3 linked regions of the Sus scrofa genome follow. The protein of the gene in region 1 purifies or fractionates together with the protein of each later gene. This does not show direct contact. Links are inferred from orthologs where the notes say so. Each region holds a gene or a part of one and is shown on either strand. Other genes may lie near its edges.

What was found. The genes of interacting proteins can lie anywhere in the genome.
Region 2: the proteins of NEPRO (region 1) and RPP25L purify together in Homo sapiens (affinity purification with mass spectrometry; 3 studies listed by BioGRID and IntAct, with this or other methods). This does not show direct contact. The link is inferred for Sus scrofa from reciprocal best matches to the Homo sapiens genes RMP64 and RPP25L.
Region 3: the proteins of NEPRO (region 1) and NPM1 purify together in Homo sapiens (affinity purification with mass spectrometry; 4 studies listed by BioGRID and IntAct, counting the BioPlex papers as one, with this or other methods). This does not show direct contact. The link is inferred for Sus scrofa from reciprocal best matches to the Homo sapiens genes RMP64 and NPM1.

What each region holds. Positions count from the first base shown.
Region 1 is NC_010455.5:146,909,409-146,916,588, reverse strand, and holds the end of NEPRO (nucleolus and neural progenitor protein), read right to left. Parts: exon of another isoform or gene 6,864-7,180; coding exon 6,802-6,863; exon of another isoform or gene 5,838-6,801; coding exon of another isoform or gene 5,816-5,837; exon of another isoform or gene 5,620-5,815; coding exon 5,518-5,619; exon of another isoform or gene 5,378-5,517; coding exon 5,121-5,377; exon of another isoform or gene 3,965-5,120; coding exon 3,514-3,964; 3' UTR 1,834-3,513; downstream 1-1,833. UniProt on the Homo sapiens protein: May play a role in cortex development as part of the Notch signaling pathway. Downstream of Notch may repress the expression of proneural genes and inhibit neuronal differentiation thereby maintaining neural progenitors.
Region 2 is NC_010452.4:32,186,467-32,194,556, reverse strand, and holds RPP25L (ribonuclease P protein subunit p25-like protein), read right to left. Parts: upstream 5,376-8,090; 5' UTR 5,279-5,375; exon of another isoform or gene 5,257-5,278; intron 4,505-5,256; 5' UTR 4,471-4,504; coding exon 3,979-4,470; 3' UTR 3,128-3,978; downstream 1-3,127. Other genes in the region: DCTN3 (dynactin subunit 3), read right to left, coding at 7,538-7,858. UniProt on the Homo sapiens protein: May be a component of ribonuclease P or MRP.
Region 3 is NC_010458.4:52,776,436-52,784,502, forward strand, and holds the start of NPM1 (nucleophosmin), read right to left. Parts: upstream 5,428-8,067; 5' UTR 5,211-5,427; coding exon 5,153-5,210; intron 3,228-5,152; coding exon 3,148-3,227; intron 2,312-3,147; coding exon 2,192-2,311; intron 1,859-2,191; coding exon 1,765-1,858; intron 1,465-1,764; coding exon 1,358-1,464; intron 1,249-1,357; coding exon 1,181-1,248; intron 1-1,180. UniProt on the Homo sapiens protein: Involved in diverse cellular processes such as ribosome biogenesis, centrosome duplication, protein chaperoning, histone assembly, cell proliferation, and regulation of tumor suppressors p53/TP53 and ARF.

The DNA of each region.
Region 1 (7,180 bases):
TGATTGCCAGAGGTAGAGCTTTGGGGTGAGAGAAATGAGTTAAGGAGGTCAAAAGGTACAAACTTCCAGTTATAAAGTAAGTCATAGGGACTCACTGGACAACACGGTGACTATAGTTAGTAATACTATATTATATATTTGAAAGCTGCTAAGAAAGAGTTTAAAAGTCTTCATCACAAGAAAAAAAAGTTTTTAACTACATGTGGTGGCAAATGTAACCAGACTTATTGTGGTGATCATTTCACAGTATATACAAGTATTGATCATATTGTGCTACTAAAACAAATATAATGTTATATGTCAGTTATATACCACAATAAAAAAATTTTTATCTGGAAGATAAAAAGTATATAGATATGGTGAAATTTTTGGAATCCTGAAGGAAATAGATGAGATAATGTGGATCACCAGATATAGAATACTGTAAGAGCCTGAGGGAAAGAGAGGAAAGGTAGAACAAACTAAGACATTCTGTTTTACACATGGAACTCACAACAATTTGCGAACAGATTTTAAGTTAGATGAATTCAGACCTGTTCCCACCTCTGAAGTAAGGAAGAAAATGATTTTTCTTTTCTTTTCACAGTGCTGTTACCTTTTCTGGAATCCATCTATTGAGATGCTTTATAGCAGATATAACAGGAAATCTTAAGACTAGTGGCTTCCAGTTTAGCTGAAGATTCAAAATTCTCTATTTCAACTGAAGTTAAATACCTAGAATTTCAACATTGTTTTAAATGTTGTGTTTCTGTAACTTACAGAAGGATCACTTCAGCTTTAAAACCTGCATCTTCCCAAAGCAAGAATGAATTTGTGCCTGGTGGGGGAAAGGTTTAAAAATGATTGAATTATACCGTCCATTAGAATAGATACAAGATTTTTCTGTTTTAACAAACTGACAAGAACATATAGAAGAAGTCCATAAAATGAAAACCTGTTTGTTTCCTACTGTGTAGACAACGGTTTGCTATATTATTTATTGGGTTTTTGTCTTTTAAAGAAAATATCTATTACTTATATTTTTTAAAATATTACAATGGACTAGGTTAAAAAAAAGGGGCTACTTTTCTATTGAGCACTGGTAGTTTGAAGATAAATTCTCATATATGTATGGCTATAATTTATCTTTTTTCAGCGTCCTTATTTGAATGTAAAAGAAACTATTCTTGGGATAAAATTTCAGTGGAAGCACCAGTCATTTGAGGCTGGGATCAGTTACCTTAAGGTGACCACAGGGTTTGGAATCAGAAGATGAAGGTTCAAGTTCCAGTTGTAATATTTATTATATGTTGGACGTTGGACAAATTGAATTCTCTGAACTTCTTTTGTTACCTCTTACTTCAGAGGCTATGAAGATTAAAATGTGAAAAGGACATTTGCATATTCTGCATATTTGTAAAGTGAAACCAACCCAAATACCTAGCGAAATTCACAGGTAGATTTATCACAGAAAACATTCTGTCATGGAGGAAGTAACATTTTATCTAATGAAAGGCCAGAAAAGAAGAAAAATAGCTTTAGGTGAGAAAACTGATTTGCAAAAAACAATACCATCGGATAAAAAATTAAGGCTGTTAAACAACTTTGCGGCTTTTTTAGAAAATTCAATTCTGAATATATTTTCAGTTTTATAGTTGATAGTGCTAGTCTCTTCTAACCAGCAGTGTTTTAAGCTTAAAAAAAAAAAATCTTTTTTATATAGGCATTTGCAAGATAAAATACATAGTAGCAACAAAATTATCTTAAAAGTCATCTTTCTACCCGCCAGTGTTACTTTACTGCTTTTCTTAGCCTTGGTTCTGATTCCCCAAAAGCAGGACCCGAGACAAAAGCTTATGTGTAGTAGTTTATTGAGGATGTGATCTCAGGGAACAGGAGTGATGGAGAAATGAAACATGTGGGAGGAAAGACAATCAAAGATGCATTGAGTTGGACACCATGTAGGCACTAGGGCTTGAATTTGAGGGACATGAGGGAGCCTTATGAAGTGTGCCTCTGAATTGTCTTTGAAGGGGGGGTTAGAGGGTGGGCCCACACCTCTTCTACACTATACATGCCCAAATACCAAGCAGTTCATATAGCTTCTCAGAAGCCAGGAGGCAGGGAGAAGCCTTCAGAACAGAGGCAAGGTGGATTGCCCAGTCCAACTTGAAACTGGTTGCCATAGTAATGGCTGAAGTACGAAGACCAAAGAGGATCTGAAGTGATACATGGGAGGTCTCTCACACTGCACTTATAAATGACCTTACTGTTCTAATGCCACCAGAAGTCATTAAATCGGTGTTCACTATGACGATGCTAACAGTAGTTTCTAGTCTAATTTACTGGCTAAGTTACGGGTTTGTATATATAAGATTTCACTTTTAAAACACTTGAATTTGTTTGGAAAAAATAACATAGAATACTATATTCCTTACCTATAAATTGTCACTTCATTAGCATATGAAGCTCTTTACTATTTTTTCCCAGAATTGTAAGGAGCAGGAGGTGAGAAAATGAAGAAATATTCTCAAAAGAACAACTGATGAAGCAGAAAAATATGCTAGGCTTATAGTCCAATCCAGTTTTACCTCCTTAGACAATTCACTGAGCTACTGTTTTTTCCATGAGGGATAATCTCTAGTCTATTCCCGCTGTAAAAGTTTATGATTATTGGACAGTAATGCTACTTCAGATGAAGGAACCTAAGCCAGGGAAACTTGCTGGCTTAGTGGAGTTATGTGCAAATAAAAGCAGAAGCAAGACTGGACCTTAAATCTTTAAAGTTAATGACTGTTTCTAGACTTATGAATGAAATTTCCTTGGTTATTTTCCATGTTTTAAGGCACTAAGTAGTTCTACCACTTGGTAGGAAAGCAGGAGAAATATAAACAACAAAAAGTGACTAGAGATTAAGAACTCAATTAAATCAGGATATTTAGCAAGGATTCAGGGCAGAAGAAAGCTAAACCAGAGCTTATCTAACTCTGCATTTTGGGGTACTTTGTATGAAAATCACCTGGACCCCTTATTAAAAATGCAGACTTCTGTCCCTGTACCCTAGCCATGTTTATCAGTCTCTTTGGAAAGGACTCAATCTGCATTTTTAAACAACCCAAGTGATTCTCAAAATAGCATACAATTTGAGAACCACTGGTACAATAGGTAAGTGAGAAAACCTACAGAAAGCAGACAAGGAAATGGCCAGATAAAGAAAAGGAAACTTTAAAATGATGGGTCCTTGCTATTCCCAACCCCCACTCCCCATTTACTGAAGGCACAGAGTAGGTTTTTTAAACCTAATTCTTCACGTCTTAAGTCAAAATTTGACTATTTAATAGTCAAATATTAAATAACACAAAGCTATGATAAATGTTTATTGAACTGAAATGAACTGCTGTACAATGTTGCACCAACACAGCTCCTCTGAGTCCAAATGGTACTTTCCAGATCTTTCCAGACCTCAGCTATTCTACTTACAACAGCAGAACACTGGATCAGCTGGTTAATCACTTAAGAGTCATATAAAAGCATCTAAACACCCATTAAAGCAAAAATATCATCAATGTCATCTGTCTGAATGGTTCCTAATGTATTATGTTTATTTGTTTGCATCATTGTCCTTTCATTTTCATTGCTTCCTCTAAGATTTTCATGAGTTTGTTCCTCCTTGGTTTGTATGAAAGGATTTGAAACTCCTGTACTCAGGAGTTGCTGCTTGTTAGGGTAGAGATCAGTTCTATGAACTGCAGGGTGTGAGAGTCTTCCTTTAAAGATGTCTGTAGCACTCTGGGTCCCTTTAGGGGACTGCTGGATTTCCTTTGAAAGAATTGACTGTAACTTTCTCTGTGGTTTCCTTTGTCTCAGTGAAAATTTATTCTGTGATCTTCTTTGTCTCAGACGATGCTTTGAAGTTTTGATACCTGAGCCATGAAGAAGGCAGTTGCAAATAGAGGTTTTTATGCACTCTAGTTTCTTTGGCAAACTTTAAAGGATAAAGAGAGGAAAAAAAATGGAGATTGTTAAGATACAGGAAAACATTCTCAAAACTTGTTTTCTTTTTATCAACTTCCAACTGAAAAAAGACAATTTATAAGTCCTACGCCTGTGTACAACTCCAGAATCATAAGGAAAAATAAGGAAATTAGAGCTTCCATCCAAACCTGTTTTCAGAATACAACATCCCCCTGATTTGGACTGTAGGCAAATGTGTCCCCATTATGTTTCCAAAGTAGCTGTTACAACTAGCAAGGGGGCTGAATGGTGAAATATCTCTGTGTGTATTTTAATGCCAAAGCTTTCCCTCAATAATTGCTCATCTGTTCATAATATAATAGGAGGTGAACCGGGGAAACGATGTATCACAGGCAGAAAATTTGCCAGGATGCATCAACCTCATTTCTTGATTAACACCGCTGTGTATTATGGCAGGAAATGAACAAGGAAAAAAGGAGTAAAAGTGAAGAGGGAGTTTTCCATAAATTTTTTAAGAAAATTTAATAAGTTTTAGACTGTGACTCATCCATTGAAACCATTATAAAGTCCTGAACAGATAAATGTGTACAGCTAAGAAATTATGGTGGATGCACAGAATATTTCTTAAAGGATACATAAACACTGGTCAGAGTGATTGCCTCTGTGAAGGGGGAATAAGAATCTTTATGTCTGAAAGTGTTACCATGGGCATCTATTTTTTCCAATAAAAACATAAAACTCTGGTATCTAACTTCATGTACTGTTTTAAGCAGTACTGGCTCACAGTCAAAGATAACCATCTTTAAGCAGTTCTTTGAATGTAAGAGTCACAGGAAAAGGAAGAAATCATTACATGGAGAGTTGAGCTCCTATAAATGGAAATTTTCTGGCCCCAGAGTCTTCTGTGTGCTTTTGTAGGAAGCACCTTCTGCTCTCCCACCCTCATTGCACTGAAGCTGTAGGCAGACTAGCTTTCTCTCCCACTACAGATAGTTCTATCCAACATAAGCAGCAAACAAAATTGCAATTTGAGTCTATTCCAATTTTAGCCCCCAGGCTACTGGACATCCCGTTTTAAAGAAGGCTAACTTGAATACGTACATATATACTTTTGCCCCAAATGAAAACAGAAAAAGTAAAGGAATATACTTTTGTAATATACCTACCTGTAGCCTTGAGCTTCCAAATGTTTAAGCCGGTTACTTTTAAGAAGTTTATTACCCAGAAAGGCAGTCTGGGCCTTGAGTTTTTTGCTCCTACACCACAGAATTGCCGTTTGGATTTCTTCAGAAAGTTGTCTGAAAGTGTCAGCCTCTCGGAATCTTTGCACAAAACTTTTTATGCAAGTTCCTATTGCTTTCTGAGAAGAATGTTTGGTTGCCATTAGTTTGGCTTGAGAACATTTAAATGCAACACTGGTCTCCTAAAATATGGAAAGATGAGAAAAATATATTGATTTGTTACTGACTCAGAAATACATGGCAGCTGAGAAAGTTGACTCACAGACTATTAAAATTTGAAAATGTCTTTTTAAAAGAAGAAAATTTTGAGACACAGCTTTACCTTAAATTTACTTGGTTTCAGAGTCAAGTAACTGGAACCAGCTCTCCTAGGAACAGGTGGATGGACTGCAGAAGTTTCAAAGGTCACAGAGAGCCACAGTTCCTAAGAGAGCTGACAAAACTATTTTGGGGACTGGTATATTGATAAAGGACAAAGACTATGTAACTAAACTGCCTGAGTTCAAATCCCAACTCTGCTGCATATTTGCTGTGTGGCCTGAAGAAATTTCTTATCTTTTTTGTGCCTCAATTTTCTCATCTGAAATATGAAAACAATAATAATAGCACTTTCCTTACAGGGCTCTTGCAAGGATTATATGAGTTGACAAATATAAAGTGCTTTGAACAATTCCTGGCAAAGAGTAAATGCAATATAAGTATAATGATGAGAATGATGTCATCTCCCTCTGGAACTCGTGAATGGACAAAACATAAATGCAAGCTGGAATCCTTGTAAACCTTTAAGAAAGTACTCTGACCCATTAGAAATGATTAAAAATTCGGGGTTCCCTTCGTGGCTCAGTGGTTAACAAACCCAACTAGGATCCATGAGGATGTGAGTTCGATCCCTGGCCTGGCTCAGTGGGTTAAGGATCTGGCATTGCTGTGAGCTGTGGTATAGGTCACAGAAAAGAGGGTGACACTGATGTACTTATCTGTGTTAAATCCAGAACAAGCAGAATTACAGACAGTGGCCAAGGAGAGGAATTGTGTTAATGCTCAAAATGCTGACATGTAGAAAGAAATAGAAGCCTCATGAAAAGGATGAGGATGATGAAAGTAGCTTATAGCATCTAACACCAGTTAAGTGCTGACCACAATCCAGACTCTGTGCTGAACACTTTATGCGCACTAAACCAGGCACAGCCCTATGGGGTACATACCCTTAATAGAAAGTAGATGTATGGACAAGTCAAGAAACTCATGTAAGGTCCCACAGCTAGGACAAACCAAAGCCAAGACTCAAACCATTTCTGTCTGACTACAAAGCCCTTAGTCTTAAGCTGAAATACAATCCACTCCTATGATGGATCCTAGGATCATTTTAAAATTCTAGCAAACCCTTAATGTTTCTGAAGCTATTCTATTAACTGAATTAATTATATGCACTTGAATCCCTTGGGAGTGCCCCTATTCATTCAGAAGCACAGACTGAGACCTAAAATGGTACTATGCTTAGGCTGGGGATAACAACAGAGGTAAGATTCGGTCTCTGCCTTTGGTAAGTGGTCTACTCTACAAATTATCAGAAATCATAAGCTATATTAAAATGAGCCAGACAAACCTGCATAGCTTTGTGTTTCAGCTGTTTGCAGAAAGCCCTCACATCAAATTCTGATGACTTTTCTGTGGAAGGAGCAGACGCAAAAACTTAGGCATGCTATTTTCAAATAGTACAGATACTATTTTCAAATCAACAAATTCCTAAGTGCATGACAACATTCCTTGTCAAATTACTACAAAAAAAAAACAAAGGGAATTAAGCAAGCAAAGAACTATGAAGAAACAACAGAAGCAAATAACTTTAAATGCTCAAACTTAGAAAACACAGGTATCACCGTACCTCTCTAAAAATAATGAATATGACTTACAAAGAGAGATGCCGAATTTTTTCCTACACAATGCATGACTATATCATAATGTCAATAGCTTTCTGTTTATTC
Region 2 (8,090 bases), on another chromosome or scaffold:
TACTGCTATGATACCCTGCCCTAACTCACATCTACTCCATCTCACCCCACACCGCCACAGACCTTTTCAGAGGGACTCCCAGACCTTTCGATCTTCACTTTACTCTCTACCAGTTTGGATTCCTTGGTCCTTCACCACATGCACTCCCCTGCTAGTCTCCTCACTCTGCTCCCATCATTCCTGCCTGTCTTAAGCTCAGTCTAGAAGAATGCAACAGTGCCCCCTCAAGTCCTGACTGATGCTATTACAGGTTCATGGCCACCAGCTTCAGTAGGGGCTTTTAGCCCTGCTGGTCATCCTCCTGTACCTCCCTAGGTATCTTTCTCAATTACAACTCTCGCATTCCTTCCCATTGGCTTCCTCGCTCCACTCTCAGCAGCAGAGCTGGACTCCTGCTTCTGAACTCTGAACTCCCTCATGTCTCACCCTGACCTCCTCACCCATCTGCATGCACAGCCATCCTCATCACCTGGCCTCCTGTTACATAAAGTCATCCCTTCTCTACCCTTTGGGAGGCCCCTACCTCCAGGCTCCAAGACCCATTCGCTTTTATCCCCCCTCCAGGAGTCTCACTGAGTTATCCACAATCTCCTGCATCTTAATCCCTTTCCCTCCCTCCACTAGCCTAAACATGCTCACGTCTCTGCATATTCTTTTTAAATAAACAGGAAAATTCTCTCTGTATCCCACAATTACCTCTTTCCTCCCATCACAATATGATTTCTTAAAAAAGCTGTCTCCACTTTCTTACCTTTTGCGCCCAAACATTAACACTTGCTTCCCACCATGGTACATTGAGTTAAGAATCCGACTGTAGTGGGTTGCTGCAGAGGAGTGGCTTTGATCCTGGCAGGGTGCAGTGGGTTAAAGGATCCAGCATAGCTGCGGCTCAGATTCATTCCCTGGATCAAGAACTGCCAAACGCCACCATAAAATAATAATAATAATAACAATAACAAAAGAAGCTGTTCTACAGTGGATTAGGGAGAAAATGTGAAGAAAAGATATCCCCGGTGGGTGCCCAACTGGGAGCCCATCCTAGCACTCTGGATCATTCCCCCAGCACATGTCACCACACTTATTCTACATGATCATCCCACCCTGGCCACAGCAGCTCAGATCCCATATTGCTGTTTCTATGGCATAGGCCAGCAGCTAATTCCACCCCTAGCCTGGGAACTTCCATATGCTGCAGGTGCAGCCCTAAAAAAGACCAAAAAAAAAAAAAAATGCTCAGAGAAAAAGCAAGGGGAGGAGGGCAGCCTCTAGAAGTGTGTTAGATGCTTCATGACCTTCTGCAGCTGAGAGGCCTGGCTGGGCAGCTGCTGAGAGGGTTTCCTGTCTATCCTAATAATATCCCTTGAGTCTCCATTACCTGCCCCTCCACTCTGGGTAACTTACCTTGGAAAGCAAAGGATGCAGTATTCAAAGTTTTGACAACAGCGTGCTGACCCTGTGGTCCCCTCCTCCCTGCTCTAGGCCCACCTTGAGGCCTCCAGTCCCCCATCTCCATCTCTCCCAATATCTGCCTGGACTCAGCCAAGCATCTCTTCCACACTCTCAGGTTGCTGTGCCCACCCGCCACAAGGGTCCGTGTTGCATTCCTGGAACTGGACACCCAGGCTACTGGACACAATGAAGATAACCATAAAACTCAGTGGGAGACCCAATTCACTCACTCCTTCCTGCCTACCCATAATCCTGCTCTGGTTCCTGGAGCCCCTGGCTACCACTGCAATGTGCACCTCTCCCCTCCACAGCGGGAACTCTCTCATGGATTTTTTTTTTTTACCAAAATCCACAGATGCTCAAATCCCTTATATAAAATGGCGTAGGGCAGTCAGCTCTCTGTGTCCATAGGTTCCACACCCACAGATACAGAGGGCTTAGTGTATATAGGCCCAAGTGATATCTAAGAATCATATGTGTATATTTTCCACATTTAATCCTAACAATCTTTTTTTTTTTGGTCTTTTTGCCTTTTCTAGGGCCACTCGCACGACATATGGAGGTTCCCAGGCTAGGGTTCTAATCGGAGCTGTAGCCACTGGCCTACACCAGAGCCACAGCAATGCAGGATCCGAGCTGAGTCAGTAACCTATACCACAGCTCATGGCAACGCCGGATCCTTAACCCACTGAGCAAGGCCGGAACATCATGGTTCCTAGTGGGATTCGTTAACCACTGCATCACGATGGGAACTCCTAACAATCTTTTTTCTGTCTTTTTTTATTTGGGCTGCACCTGCGGCACATGGGAAGTTCCCAGGCTACAGGTTGAATAGAACTACAGACACTGGTCTATGCCACAGCCATAGCCACTCCAGATCTGAGCCACCTCTGCAACCTACACCACAGCTCACAGCAACGCTGGATCCTTACCCCACTGAGCGAGGCCAGGGATTGAACCTGCGTCCTCATAGATGCTAGTCAAATTAAAAAAAAAAAGACTGTTAGGATTAAATGTGGAAAATATACACATATGATTCTTAGATATCACCTGAGCCACAACAGGTTCCCTCATAACAATCTTATGAGGTAAGCACTATACCCTGTTTTAGAATACTAAAGCACAGAGCCCAAAGTCACAAAACAGTAACTTGCTAGCAAGTGGCAAAACCAGGATTCAAATCCAGGTAGTCTGGTGCTCAAGTCTACGATCTTAAACACTACACTATAATGCAGGCATACCTGAGAGAGATATTTTGGGTTTAGTTCCAGACCATCTCAATTAAATGAAGATCTCAATAAAGCGAGTCACAAGAACTTTTTGGTTTCCCAGTGCACACAAAAGTTGTTTACACTATACTATAGTCTATTAAGAGTGCAATAGTATTGTTTAAAAAACCAATGTACATACCTTAATTTAAAAATACTTTAGGAGTTCCCATTGTGGCTTGGCGGTAATTAACCTGACTAGTATCCATAAGGATGTGGGTTTGATCCCTGGCCGCGCTCAGTGAGTTAAGGATCCAGAGTTGCCGTGAGCTCTGGTGTAGGTCAAAGACAAGGCTTGGATCTCGAATTGTTGTGGCTGTGGTGTAGACCGGCAGCTGCAGCTCTGAATCGACCCCTAGCCTGGGAACCTCAATGTGCTACAGGTGCAGCCCTAAAAAAGAGCAAAGAAATAAAAATAAAAACATTTTATTACTAGAAAAAGTTGAACCATCACCTCAGCCTTCAATGAGTTATAACAGTAACATTAAAGATCACTTATCATAGATCACTATAACAAACATAACAATGAAAAAGTTTGCAATGTGAGAATTACCAAAATGTGACAGAAACTCAAAGTGAGCAGATGCTGTTGGAAAAATGTCGCCAACAGACTTGCTCAATGCAGGCTTGCTACAAACCCTTACTTACTTTGTAGAAAACACAGTATTTGGGACGTGCAATAGAATGAAGTATATCAACATGCTACAGATGAGGAAAAATGTCTGTCCTGGTAGAGAGTCTTTAAACCAGCCTCAAACAGGCAGCAGTCAGCCACCCAGTGGTTTAGACACAGACAGGTTACCACTTGAGGCTTTTTAATCAACCCTAGATCCTTCCAGCACCAACCTGAGCCTACCCTTCCTGTCTCCCACCTGTGAGCTCCTGGGGGTCAAGGGCAAGGACTCCTCTTCCCCTAATCCCACCTCCACACAGCAGGCCGAGCAGAGGCTTATCAAATGGGCAGAACTTTTATTTCCTAACCCACTCCTCAGACCTCTGTCAGAAGGTAGATCAGAGTCACTGTAGGTGGAAGGCAGAATAAGCTCCTCTTAAGCAATCCAGAACTCAGCAGAGACCCCACACCTGTCACTCTTCATCACAGTCCCTTTCCACCAGCCAGAGGGAAGTTGAAGTAGGACAGGGAGGTCCACTTCTGTAACCTCAAGTCTAGATGGGGATGTTGAGCAGTTACAGGGCTTCTCAAAGAAGGCACAGCCATCCTAGACATTCAGGCCTGGAGAACAGCTTGCTTGGCAGGTCCTCAGAACCGGGTGTCTCGTGCCCTTCTTCGGGGTCGGGGGCCACAGCTGGAGCTGGGCATGGGGCCCAGGCCAGGGGGTGCCCCTGGGGGCTGATAGCCACACTCATTGGGGTCCAAGGGGTCCCGGCTGAGCAGTACCCACACCGCAGGCACATGACGGCGGACTGTGAGGGGATCTAGGCCAGTGTCAGGTGAGGTTGGCACCCAGCTGTCCTCTGTTTGCAGGAAGCGCAGCTTGGTGAGCTGGTGCAGGCCTGGTACCCGCCGTTTGACGATCTCGGCACAGCTGACAGCCTTGCCGGCAGCCCGGCCAGAACCTGAGAAGACCACATGCCGGGCGCTGCCACCCTCCAACCGCCCCAGCGCCAGTCCCAGCAGGTTGCGGATCTTGCTGCCATCTCGGACTCGCATCTCCAGGGTATCAGGAGGCAGCTGGGGCATTGGGGAAGGTGCTGGTAGTTCCACAGAGCCAGCTTTCCGGTAGTGCTCCATCTCGCTTGCTGCTGGGTCTCAATCTTGCTGCCCGCTGCAGGGAGGTGTCAGAGGAATGCTAGGCAAGGTGCCCCAGGCCATCCCCCACCCCACCCCCCATCCCTGGCTCCCTAGGACATGGCTGTGCTCCTCAACCCAGACTTCCCAGGAACAGGACCACATCCCCTCACCCCCAGAGCAGGGATGCCTGCCTCCCCCTGACAGGGGGCTGTATCCCCTTCCTCCGGACAGAGCCATAACCCTCCCCCGACCCCCGCAGTCCCAGAGACAGGACCAGATTCCCCACTGGCCGAGCCCCCTCATCCCAAGCTGCCCAGCACTGGTAACGAACTTCCTTCATCTGGGGCGCCTTGGGACAGGGCTGGGGCCCTCGGCCCAGGCTGCTTGAGAACAAGACTTTGTGCTCCTCTCCCTGGACTCTCCAAGGAGGGACGAGGACAAGGTTCCCTCACTTCGTGCTCCCGGAGGGCAGGGCCAAGCCTCTACACCCCAAGCTCCCCAAGGCAGACCCCTCTTCCAAAAGCTCCTCAAAGGCAGAAGTGACCCCCTCCCCAACTCCAGGACCTCCAGGACAGGGCCGAGCATCCCTCGCCCAAAGATCCCCTGGGTCGATTCCCCTAACCCAGGTCACTCAGTAAGTCGGGGATAGCGTGGAGGGCTGCTCGGGCTACTCCTGGCGGCCGGTCCGCGGCCGCCACCGCCCCGGGCTGCTCCCAGTGTCCAGGCGGGCGCAGCGGCCCAGCAGCCGGCCTCCCCTCTCCTGCCCCCGACTCCGGGCGCCCTCACCCCGCTGGGTTCTAGCTCTCACCACAGCAGCCACGCACTCTACCACTTCGCTCCTAGTCCAAAATGGCGCGGGACGGGGGCGCGCCGAGGCCGCGGGGCCGCGCACGCCGGACGGGGCGGGGCCTCAGGAGACAGGACCAGAGGCGACTCTGCCCACAAACTGAGAGCGGCCGCGACGGCAGCTTGTGGGTATGAGCCCAGCCGCGACGCGAGGGCCGGTGGCATGAGGGTATTAGGAGTCGTCTCCCGTCGGAAGGAAGTGAAGGATTTGACCTCTGTTGAACACAGTGCAGTAACAAAGGCAGAGCAGCGGGTTTCACTTCGGACGGGAGCAAGAGGGGGGCTGCTGCTGCGGGGACAAGAACTTTGGTCACAGAGTTCTGAGTCTAGACCTCATCTTGTGGACACTGGCGTATCACGGGGAGGTTTCATCAGGCGCAGGTCAAACCAGATCTTTTTGGCACAGCTCACTCTGGCCGCAGCGCAGAAGGGAGCGGGGACCGGCCGCATCCGCTGGTGACTCCCGGGGGCGTGTCCACATGGACCAGCGTATGATAGGGCTCAAATATTTGTTAAATTATTTGTTGAAAGAATGAACTAGAGAAATGGCAGAGTAATGGGGAGAAGTAGATTCATTTGGAAGATAACAGGAAGTAGGTTTGGCGACTGTTCCGACGGAGAAAGAGGGAAGAGTCTAGGATGACTCCCAGTATCAGACGAGCTCAATTCGAAATGCCAACGAGACCGCGCGGGTGGGGTGGAAGGCCGGCGGCGGATGAAAGGGGCCTGGAGGCACAGCAGTCCCTGAGACCACAAGGGGGCAGCAAACACTTGGTGGAGTGAAGTGCCACTGTTTCTCGGCTCCAACCTGCCCCTTCTCCTTTCCAACCACCCCCGCACCCAACTAAAATCCCCGTCTCCAAACCTCTTTTAGGCTCCCCTTCTCGGTATAGCACCAAGTAGGCTCCCCAGAAAAAAACTTAAAAGCTCCCCTCTGCCTTTGCACATGCTGCAACCTCGGCTCTCAAAGACCCTGTGTATCACCCTCCAGGGATGTCCCCCACTTTCCTTTTTCTTCTGTGCCACAAAGAACCCTGGTGCCACCTGGTCCCCTTCCCTTTTCCTTGACTGTCTCCCTAGCTAGGCTGTAAAGGGTAGGGATCAGGTGGACCCTATCTGTGTCCTTCCCACCTGGTTGGCATCTGACCTTTTTAATTTTTTTTTTTTTTTTTTTTTTTTTTCTTTTTAGGGCTACGCGTGGCATATGGAGATTCCCAGGCTAGGGGTCCAATCCAAGCTACAGCTTCTGGTCCACAGCCACAGCAACGCAAGATCTGAACCACATCTTCGACCTACACCACAGCTCTTGGCAGTGCCAGATCCTTAACCCACTGAGCGAGGCCAAGGATCAAACCTGCCACCTCCTGGTTACTAGTTGGATTCTCTCTCTCTCTTTTTCTTTTTCTTTTTTTTTTTTTTTTTTTTTTTTTTGGTCTTTTTAGGGCTGCACCTTTGGCATATGGAGGTTCCCAGGCTAGGGGTCTAATCAGAGCTGTAGCTGCTGGCCACAGCCACAGCCACAGCAATTCCAGATCCGAGCTGCATCGGCAAACTACACCACAGCTCATGGCAACACCAGATCCTTAACCCACTGAGCGAGGCCAGGGATCGAACCACAACCTCATGGTTCCTAGTCAGATTTGTTAACCACTGCACCACGACGGGAACTCCAAACAATGTCTCTCTCTTTTTATTTTTTTGGTCTTTTTGTCTTTTTAGGGTCTAGTCGGATTCACTTCTTAGGCGCCACAAGAGTAACTCTGGCATCTGACATTTAGCGTGTACTTGGTAAATGTGGGATAAATGGACACATAAACGAATGTCCACTCACATCAAGCAAATGAGAGCATTTGTCATGAGAGCTCTACATTTCCCAGAAAGCCAGACTAATGAGTATAGCTCTTGGTCCAAACTACTAGGAAGGCTGATGCCACTCTCTGGCCTCCACCACCCTTATCCCCACCACCACCCCCATCCTGGATCAGGAAGCTGGCACACTCCTTCAATGATCTCCACAGTTTATTGTCACTGGACTAGGACACTGATGAGGGGAGGGGCGCAAATAGCAAATCTCAAGTAGCAAGAGCCCCACCTAAGCCTGTCTAGGTAGGGTGTGAATCCAATAAATAGAGAGCTGCCTCTGCTCTGCCTGTTACAAGGGCAGGTTGTCCCAGGGCTTGAAGCCTGGTTGTCCTGATCCACCTGGGGTGGGCAGCAGCCATCATTCCTCGGCTGGCTTCACTTGCTTGGCAGCCTCTAGCTGGCAAAGTAGTTCATCCCACTGCACAAACTGCTTGGAGAGAAGCATTGTCTGATTGAAGGTCAAGGTGAGAACAGGAGTCTGAAAGAGGGAGTGGAGAGATTTTTGTACCTGTCGGAAGGGTGGAGGAGCAGGGGAGTAGAGAGGCTGGTTGGGATGGGATGGGAGAGCCAGAGCCAGAAATAGAAAAGGGGATAGGACTCTGGACAGCAGAAAGGATACAGTCTTGTTGTATTCCTCCAGGAGAGCCTTGGACTCCTCAGTGATCTCCACACACTGGTCCTGTGGGGCCAAGGAGTGGCAGAGAAAGGCATTGGATAAAGCCCACTTTCTATTTCCTGCCTCACCACTCCCCAGAGGGCCTAGAAAAGGTGATGTTTAACCCCAGAGCCACAAGGAGCAAATTTCTAAAGGGGCACTTGCAGGCTCTGGGATGGGTAATCTAACTGCAGTCCTAAGGCTGACAGAGAGGAATGGAATCATAGTTAAGGAAATATTCCTGCTAGTATTTATC
Region 3 (8,067 bases), on another chromosome or scaffold:
AAAACTGTCCTCCAAAGTGACCCACTACATAGTTCTCTGGCCACACCCCTTAAAGCATCCACTGCCCCCCACCTCTATGTATCTGACTACCATTTCTTTCCTGAACTTTTCTTGAGCTTACTGTTTTGGACTTGGACACCATCTACACTTTTCATTCCTCCCTCCCAATCTACCTCAAGGATAACTTGACATGGCAGGGAGAAACAAACTATTTATGCTGTAGTTACAGCAGGAATCATCCTCATTTGAAAGACAGGAAATGTCTTTCAAGCAAAGTAATAACAAACACTCATTACACTGAGTTTAAGTTTGACACACAGGTAATTAATTATCAATTACAAAGTTGACAGGCAATTAAAAATTCAATATATTGAAGTTTTCATATCACAGCATATAGGAAAAGAATACCATTTTATTCCATAAAATGGATAGCACTTTATTTACCATAGCCTGGCCTAATAAAAATATCAAATCTTATTTACAATTAAATCTTAAAATTCTCCAGGAAAATCCTACTCTCTTTTAGAATCGTATTTTCCTTTTTTTTTTTTTTTTTTGTCTTTTTGCTATTTCTTGGGCCGCCCTTGCGGCATGTGGAGGTTTCCCAGGCTAGGGGTCGAATCGGAGCCATAGCCACCGGCCTACGCCAGAGCCACAGCAACGCAGGATCCGAGCCGAGTCTGCAACCTACACCACAGCTCACGGCAACGCCTGAGCAAGGGCAAGGACCGAACCCGCAACCTCATGGTTCCTAGTCGGATTCGTTAACCACTGCGCCACGACGGGAACTCCATAGAATCGTATTTTCTCATGAGGGCCAGACAATCACATGCCAAGATCCTTTGTGATGAAAATACTTCACATGACAACCTACAAAATCGATGTAGCTGGCGTTACTCAGATTTTCTTTCTCCTCAATCCATTTATTACAAACTATTCATCATCAACACCTGACTTGTTAGCATGTAAGAATGTGATCACAGACTAAAAAGTCACCTAGTCAAATGCATTTGGGAAATGCTGCATACTCCAGCCTTTACCTCAGTTCATTTAACCCAAACTGACAACCACTGACCATTTACCTTTTGTAACTGTCACGAATCCCACAGGATGATTTTTCTCAATAATTTTTATAACTCCCCATGCAACTATGTCAGGTTTCTAAGGGCATACTACTTACTCTTCGTCATCGTCGTCATCATCTTCATCATCATCTTCATCTTCATCAGCAGCAAGTTTTACCTTTTTCTTAAAAAAATAAACGGACACAATCCTAAGCAAGTACTAATTATAATTAATCCAAACTACCAAACAAAAGGCCACAAGAAGTTCAATGTGCAATAAATCACATCTATACCTGTGGAACCTTGCTACCACCTCCGGGGGCAGAACGCTTTCCAGATATACTCAGAAGTTTCACATCTTCCTCCTCCTCATCTTCTGACTCTGCATCTTCCTCTACAGCTGCAATAAAATTCGTTATTAGCTACCACGAAAACTCAACCAACAGCAGGAACTCAGAAAAAGGGATACTGAGTATTTTGAAAGTGAGATTCTATAGAAAAACAGTAAAAAAGGTACAAGTTTTTTAAAAAAAGGTATTTTGAGTGCTAACACTCATTACTGGGTTTTACATGCTACAAATGACTAGATTCCCACTTGAACTCAGACAGTAAGTAGTACTATAACTAAAGACACCCTATTCCAAATTGGCAACAAAGTAGCTGCTGAAAAATAAAACAACATAACACAAAAATAACATACCTACTAAGTGCTGTCCACTAATATGCACAGGCCCTGAACCACACTTCAACCGTAAGACCACAGGTGGTGTTATTTCAAAGCCCCCAAGGGAAACCTAAAAAGGAGAAATTTATCCATCACTAAATAGTGTGAAGAAAATTAAGATTATATGTTTGATATAAAACCTGTTCATACTTAAAAATGTTACTGAAGAAGCAAACCCATCTGGCCAAATGAACAAACCAATGAATCTTTTTTCCACCTCTGATAAGCAAGCAGCTACCACCTTGTTCCAAGAGTTGATCAGTCAACCCCAATGACAACACAGTTCTGACTATAAGAAAAACCAAAGCTCATTCCCCAATCTCCTTAGTGTAACCTAAATGATACCCATCTTAATGTTAAGAATTAGAAGGACATAAAATCCCAAGCATAAAAGTGCCCTTACCGTCGGCTGTACAGACATTTTCAAAGTTGCCAGTGTTACTTTGATTGGACTGCCTTCATAATTCATTGCCTCTGCTTCTACAATGTGCAACTCATCCTTTGCGCCAGCCCCTAAACTGACCTGTGAATAGAAAAACAGTACTTCAAACTGTCACTATTTTACAATGCCCCCCCATGAGTTTTTTAAAATACAGAATAATTATTCATCTTCCATTATTACCACTGATGGAAAACTGACGAGCTCAAAGTTGTCTTCAAGTTTTATGTGACCCTAGTCTCATACTCAGTAACTTTGAACAAATACACTAAAATGCATTTGATGACACATACTTATGCCATCACCACTGTTAACTCACAGTATGAATCGCCTAACATTTACCGGCCACCTACAATTTAAGTAGTAGGCTATAGCCTAGTCTCTGGGGAACAAGATGTATATTTGTCACTACCCTAAAGAGTTTTTAATACAACTCAAGAAAAGTAGATGACACAATAAGGAAAGCTGGGGAGTTCCCATTGTGGCTCATTGGATTACCAACCCAATGTGTATCCATCAGGATGCGGGTTTGATCCCCAGCCTCCCTTAGTGGGTTAAGGACCCCATGTTGCCAGGAGCTTCAGTGCAGATTTGCACAGGCAGCTCGGATCCTGTGTTGCTGCAGTGTAGGCCGGCAGCTGCAGCTCCAATTTGACCCTTAGCCTAGGAACTTTCATATGCCATAGGGGCGGCCCTAAAAAGCAAATAGAGAAACAGTAACAGTGAAAATAAGGAAAGCTGAACAGTGTGATTGGACTGTTCAAAATATCAAATGAGTGGTAAAGACGGCAGGTTTTCTATAACACACGTGGAAAACCAAGCATATACAACAACTATAGAAATACTTTTCTAATGTTAAGCCACACAAATTAAGCGGTGTCTGAAATCGAGAGTACTTTGTCTTGAAAAGTTTTACGTACCGTTCTTAAAGATAACTGGTGCTCATTTTCATCATTATCCACCTTAAAGTGGTAATCTTTATCGGCCTTTAGTTCACAACCTGTAAATGAGGAAACAACCCTACTATAACAAGGAGAAAAATAACACTGAATGAAACGTCACTGTGGGTAACCAAAAGTTACTTGATTTTACTATTCTATTCTAGCTACCAAAAAGCAAGGCAGAAGTACCTCTTACAGGCCTTCTTGAACACACAAGTCTATAAACATCAAATAACATCCATATAGAGCAAATAACTTTCATAGTTTTATAAATTCCTCCTTTCCATCATACTATTTTATGCTCAACTACACTCTTCTTAGGTGGAAACAGTATCAAAGATTTAGTAAAAGCTGGAACTTAAACCAAACCTAACATATGTTGATAAAAACCCCACTATTTTAAAAAGTTGAATTACCTACCCCAACTCCCAGGAGGAGTGCCAATTTAGAAATGACAGTGGTTACACAAACACATACATCGACAGCTTGTATTTACAACACAGAAAGACTACAAAGTAGGAGAACTAAAGGTTGTTACACGGGTCCACAATCCATCTCTGAACTAACAAGTGATATATATAAACTCTGTTCAGAAATTATATCTAAGGCAAAACTAGAAATATCCCAGGGATATTTCCGAGGGTAAACACAAACGTTTTTGATATAAACTGATCAGAAACTCCAGCTTTTCAAACCGGCTAAGAATAAAACCCTTAATGTATAGCGCATGTTACCATTACCACTCATGAATAGGCAAACTGATTTTAATAGTCAGAACTAAATTTTAATTTAAATAATACCATTTAATTGCCATCTACTTATTTACTGCAAGAGATGTATAAATGTTCCTGCTCAATTAACATATCTCAGCACGATATATAACAAAATGAACTTGAAGGCATTTGCACTTCTTCAAAACCTAACCGAAAAAAAATGGCTTTAACAATTAAGTTTAGTGAAGTTGAAAAACCAACCCAAGTCTCCTAGGATGGCACTGTGTGATTGAGGTGAGCAACAAAACCTTGGTAATAGAACTACAAGTTTAACAGAAGGCTGCCTCTGCTGCCCACCTCCCAAATCATTTGTAAAGCACCAGCTCTGGAAGCAAGCGTTGTGGGGTTGGAACTATTAAGTGCAACCTTCAGTTTTCCGAGTATCAGTAAGTCATCTGCAAAGAGCGCGGAGAGATAGAAAAAGAACTCTAGAACTACCAGCACTGATGTTAACCACTTAACAAAGACCTCAAGAGTACTGGCGCTACGAACCACTTCACCTAAAATTTCCCGTCCACCATCCTCAATTAAGCCCCAGGACCCCAGGCTCGGAGTGACAAGACACCAGTGAACCCCGGATGTAGCGCCCACACCCCTCCTTCCCCCAACCACGTGGCAACCACGTGCTCCCAGCGGTAGCGGCCTCCCCACGCCGGGCCGCGGCTCCCATCCCCCTGTAACCGGCCGAAGAACCCGGGCCGAGTCTGGGCCCTAGACCTCCTGACCCTTTAGGCCTGTAGGACAACGCCAGGCTCCATTTGTCCTCTCCGTCCAGATAGGAAGCCCACGTCTCACACCCTGATCCCCCACAATCTCTTGCACCACCAACCTGGAGTCCAGCATCAGGCACTAGTCTGGAATCAGAAGCCTACCAACTCACGCAACCCCAGGAAAAAATTATGCCCGGAGCTCTACCACGTGCCCCAGCTAACGCCCAACCCTAAACCGGTGGGTTCCACATTAACTCAGGCCCTGGGCCTCGGACCGCTCACGCTTCAGGCCGCCCTTACTTCCCAGTCACTCCGTGGTGCCGGCTCGCCCTCCCAGGTCCCCATCCTTAAGCTTCAGGACCCCAGCAGCTCGCTTCCCACTCCCGCAGGCCTCCAGCCTGCTTAGCTTTCTCCACCTGCCCAGGCCTCAGTGTGATTTCCACCACCCACTCCAAAGCCACCAGGCCGCGCTCGGCCTTGGCCCAACACGCCAGTACTTACCGAAAAGATAGTTCTGAGGCCTCAGGGGGCTCATGTCCATATCCATCGAATCTTCCATGGGTTGGTGGCACGCACTTGGGTGGGAGAGAAGGCGGACGGAGATAATCCACTAGTGTTGCGGAGAACAGCCGCGCAGGACGGAATCACACCAGGGAAAGGACGCGGGCTCCCTGCGCACATATATAGCACCCTGACGATCTCGCGAGAGCTCTTCAAGTCCCGCCTCCGCGCGCGTGCTCGGAAGCCCCCCTCCCCGCACAGTCTCTCTCCTGCGCAAGCGCTCTTCAACATCACTCCTTGCTACCTCGCCCCCCACCTCCTCCAGGTACTTCGCGGGCTCCCACCGAGCACGCGCATTCGTACCCTGGTCCCACCCACTTCGCCGCCACCGCCTGTGCGCACGCGTACTTCCCCCTCGTAGCGCGCGTTCCCCCACCCTCCAAACCTTCCACGTCCTCTCCCGCTCAGGAGCGCGGGCCTTGCGCCAAGAGCCTGCGCAGCCCACCCTGCAAAATGGCGGCAGCAACTCTTAGCTGGGTTAGGTACGAAGGGCGAGCTGGTTGTAAGTGAACCAGAGAGCAGCTCATTTCTCCTTTCGCCATCTCCTCATGCCTCGCAGGCCTGCAAACAGGCATAACCACTTCCAGTTTTTTGGCTCGCCTGAAGGCCTGAGCCCAGAGTTCATTGTTTCCCCAAAGTTAAAGCTTAAGGTGCCAGAGACAGTGGACTACGGATTGCCACTTGTTGGGGAGAAAAGATGTAGCTGCTGGCCAGACTTAATCGGTTCTGTTTTTAACCCCCTGTCCTTTCTGAGGAAACATCTCCGAATTTAAAATTCTTCGACATTACGTCACTGGGAGGCCAACAGGGGGTTCTAAATCGGTCTCTTTCATATGAGCAGGGCAGGAACCAAGCCTGGGTGATTTCTCCAAAGAGAAAGTTTTAAAAGGGTTGTGTATCCACCGTATGTCCCCACGTAACAGGTAAGAGGCAGATGTGACTATCCCCATTTTGCGGACAGGGAGACGCGCCACGAGGAAGTAAGGTGCCCAGACGGAGTGGTTACAGAAACAGGGTTCTCTAGCTCCAAGTCTAATACTAACACCTGTCTAAAAGCTCGGGGGATTACACGGGGGTCCAGTGTCTGAGGTTGTGCAGTTCTTAATCTTTAACATCACTAAGGTTGTTCTGGCCTGAAAAGAAGGCATTTGACGTTTAAGAAATACACAAACTTAGACTCTGGAAGCGAGCCTGGAAATGAGTATCTTAAAGTACGCTGTCAAACTGAGGACCACCCTTCCCCCAACCGCAGCTCCTCGGGCAGGGGTGCTGAAGATCCCCACAATTATGGTTTTTACACAAATTTAAAAAATTAAAGTACTGTAAAGAATAAAAATAGTGACAGCAATCCCCTACCGCCTTTTCTCCAAACATAGGCTACTTGGGAAGATAAACTGTGATACGCATGAACCAATAATTAACAGAATCAAAATTCAAAATGTGGAGAAATCAATGCTTATTTGTGAATGGACTAAGCTGTTCTCCGCTTTTCCCTGCTCCCAACTGAAAAAAGTCTTTACCAGCTTGGTTCTAGCATCTTTTAAAATGCAGAGTGTGACCAATTACTAGAGAAAAAAACCGAGTCTTGGAAAGTTACTACGGATTGCCACTTGTTGGGGAGAAAAGATGTAGCGGAGAACATCCGTAAAGGAACTGAGAAAGGCTGATAAAAGGGAGGAGAGGACTGTGCCTGAGGCGGATTTAGAGGTGTTAGAATGAGAGAGAGAAAGAGCTACAGGGGAGTGGAGAAGGGGTTAATGTTCTTTGGGCCCCTGCAAGAAAAATTGAAATGACTTTATAATTTCTTTCAGCTTTCTAGACCATGATTATTCAGTGCAGTTTTGCACAGAGCATGAACTCTCTGGGAGCCATAGTGCATATTATATAAATACATTTGCTGTGTTTCTGTTTCAGACACCTAGTCTAGTTATGATTTCATGGAGTCAAGCAATTAAAAAAAGTTTTTGCACTTTTCAGATTTAAAAATGTGATGATTGTCCATTATCTTTTTTAAAAATTAGAAGTATTTAGACCTTGTACAAGGTTAATCACGTATAGTTTTGTGATTACACTTCCAGACTGTATATAAGTGAGTAGAAAATTATTATGTATTTGAGAATTTTTTGGGTTTTTTTTTTTTTTTTTTGGCCATGCCCACAGCATGTGGAAGTTCCTGGCCCAGGGGTCGAACCCACACTGCAGCAGCAACCCAAGCCACTGTGGTGACAACGCTGGATCCTTAACCAGATGTGCCACAAGGGAGCTCTTTTTGTATTTTTTTTTTTTTAATGTGATTCATATATTGTTGAACTTGCTTTTTATATTCAAGAATATATTTTGGACATTTGTCCAACTAGTACATAATATGGATATGTTATAATTTATCCATTTCTCCATAAATGGTGTAGGCACAGACATGGCTTGGATCCTACATTGCTGTGGCTGTAGCATAAGCCAGCAGCTGTAGCTCTGATTCAGCCCCTAGCCTGGGAACTTCCATATGCTGCACATGTGGCCCTAAACAGACAAAAAAAAAAAAAAAAAAAAAAGGAAAGAATATTTGGGAGTTCCTGTTGTGGCTCAGTGGGTTAAGAACCCAACTAGTATCCATGAGGATGCGGGTTCAATCCCTGGCCTTGCTCAGTGGGTTAAGGGTCTGGTGTTGCCGCAAGCCGCAGCATAGGTTCCCTCTAGATGCAGCTGGGACCGCATCCCGAGCAGCAGCTGCAGCTCCTTTTCAACCCCTAGCTCTGGGAATTTCCATGTGCTGCAGGTACAGCCGTAAAAAGAAAAAAAAGTAATAATACTTTCATAAATGTTATGGACTGAATATTTGTGTTCTCCCAAAATTCGTA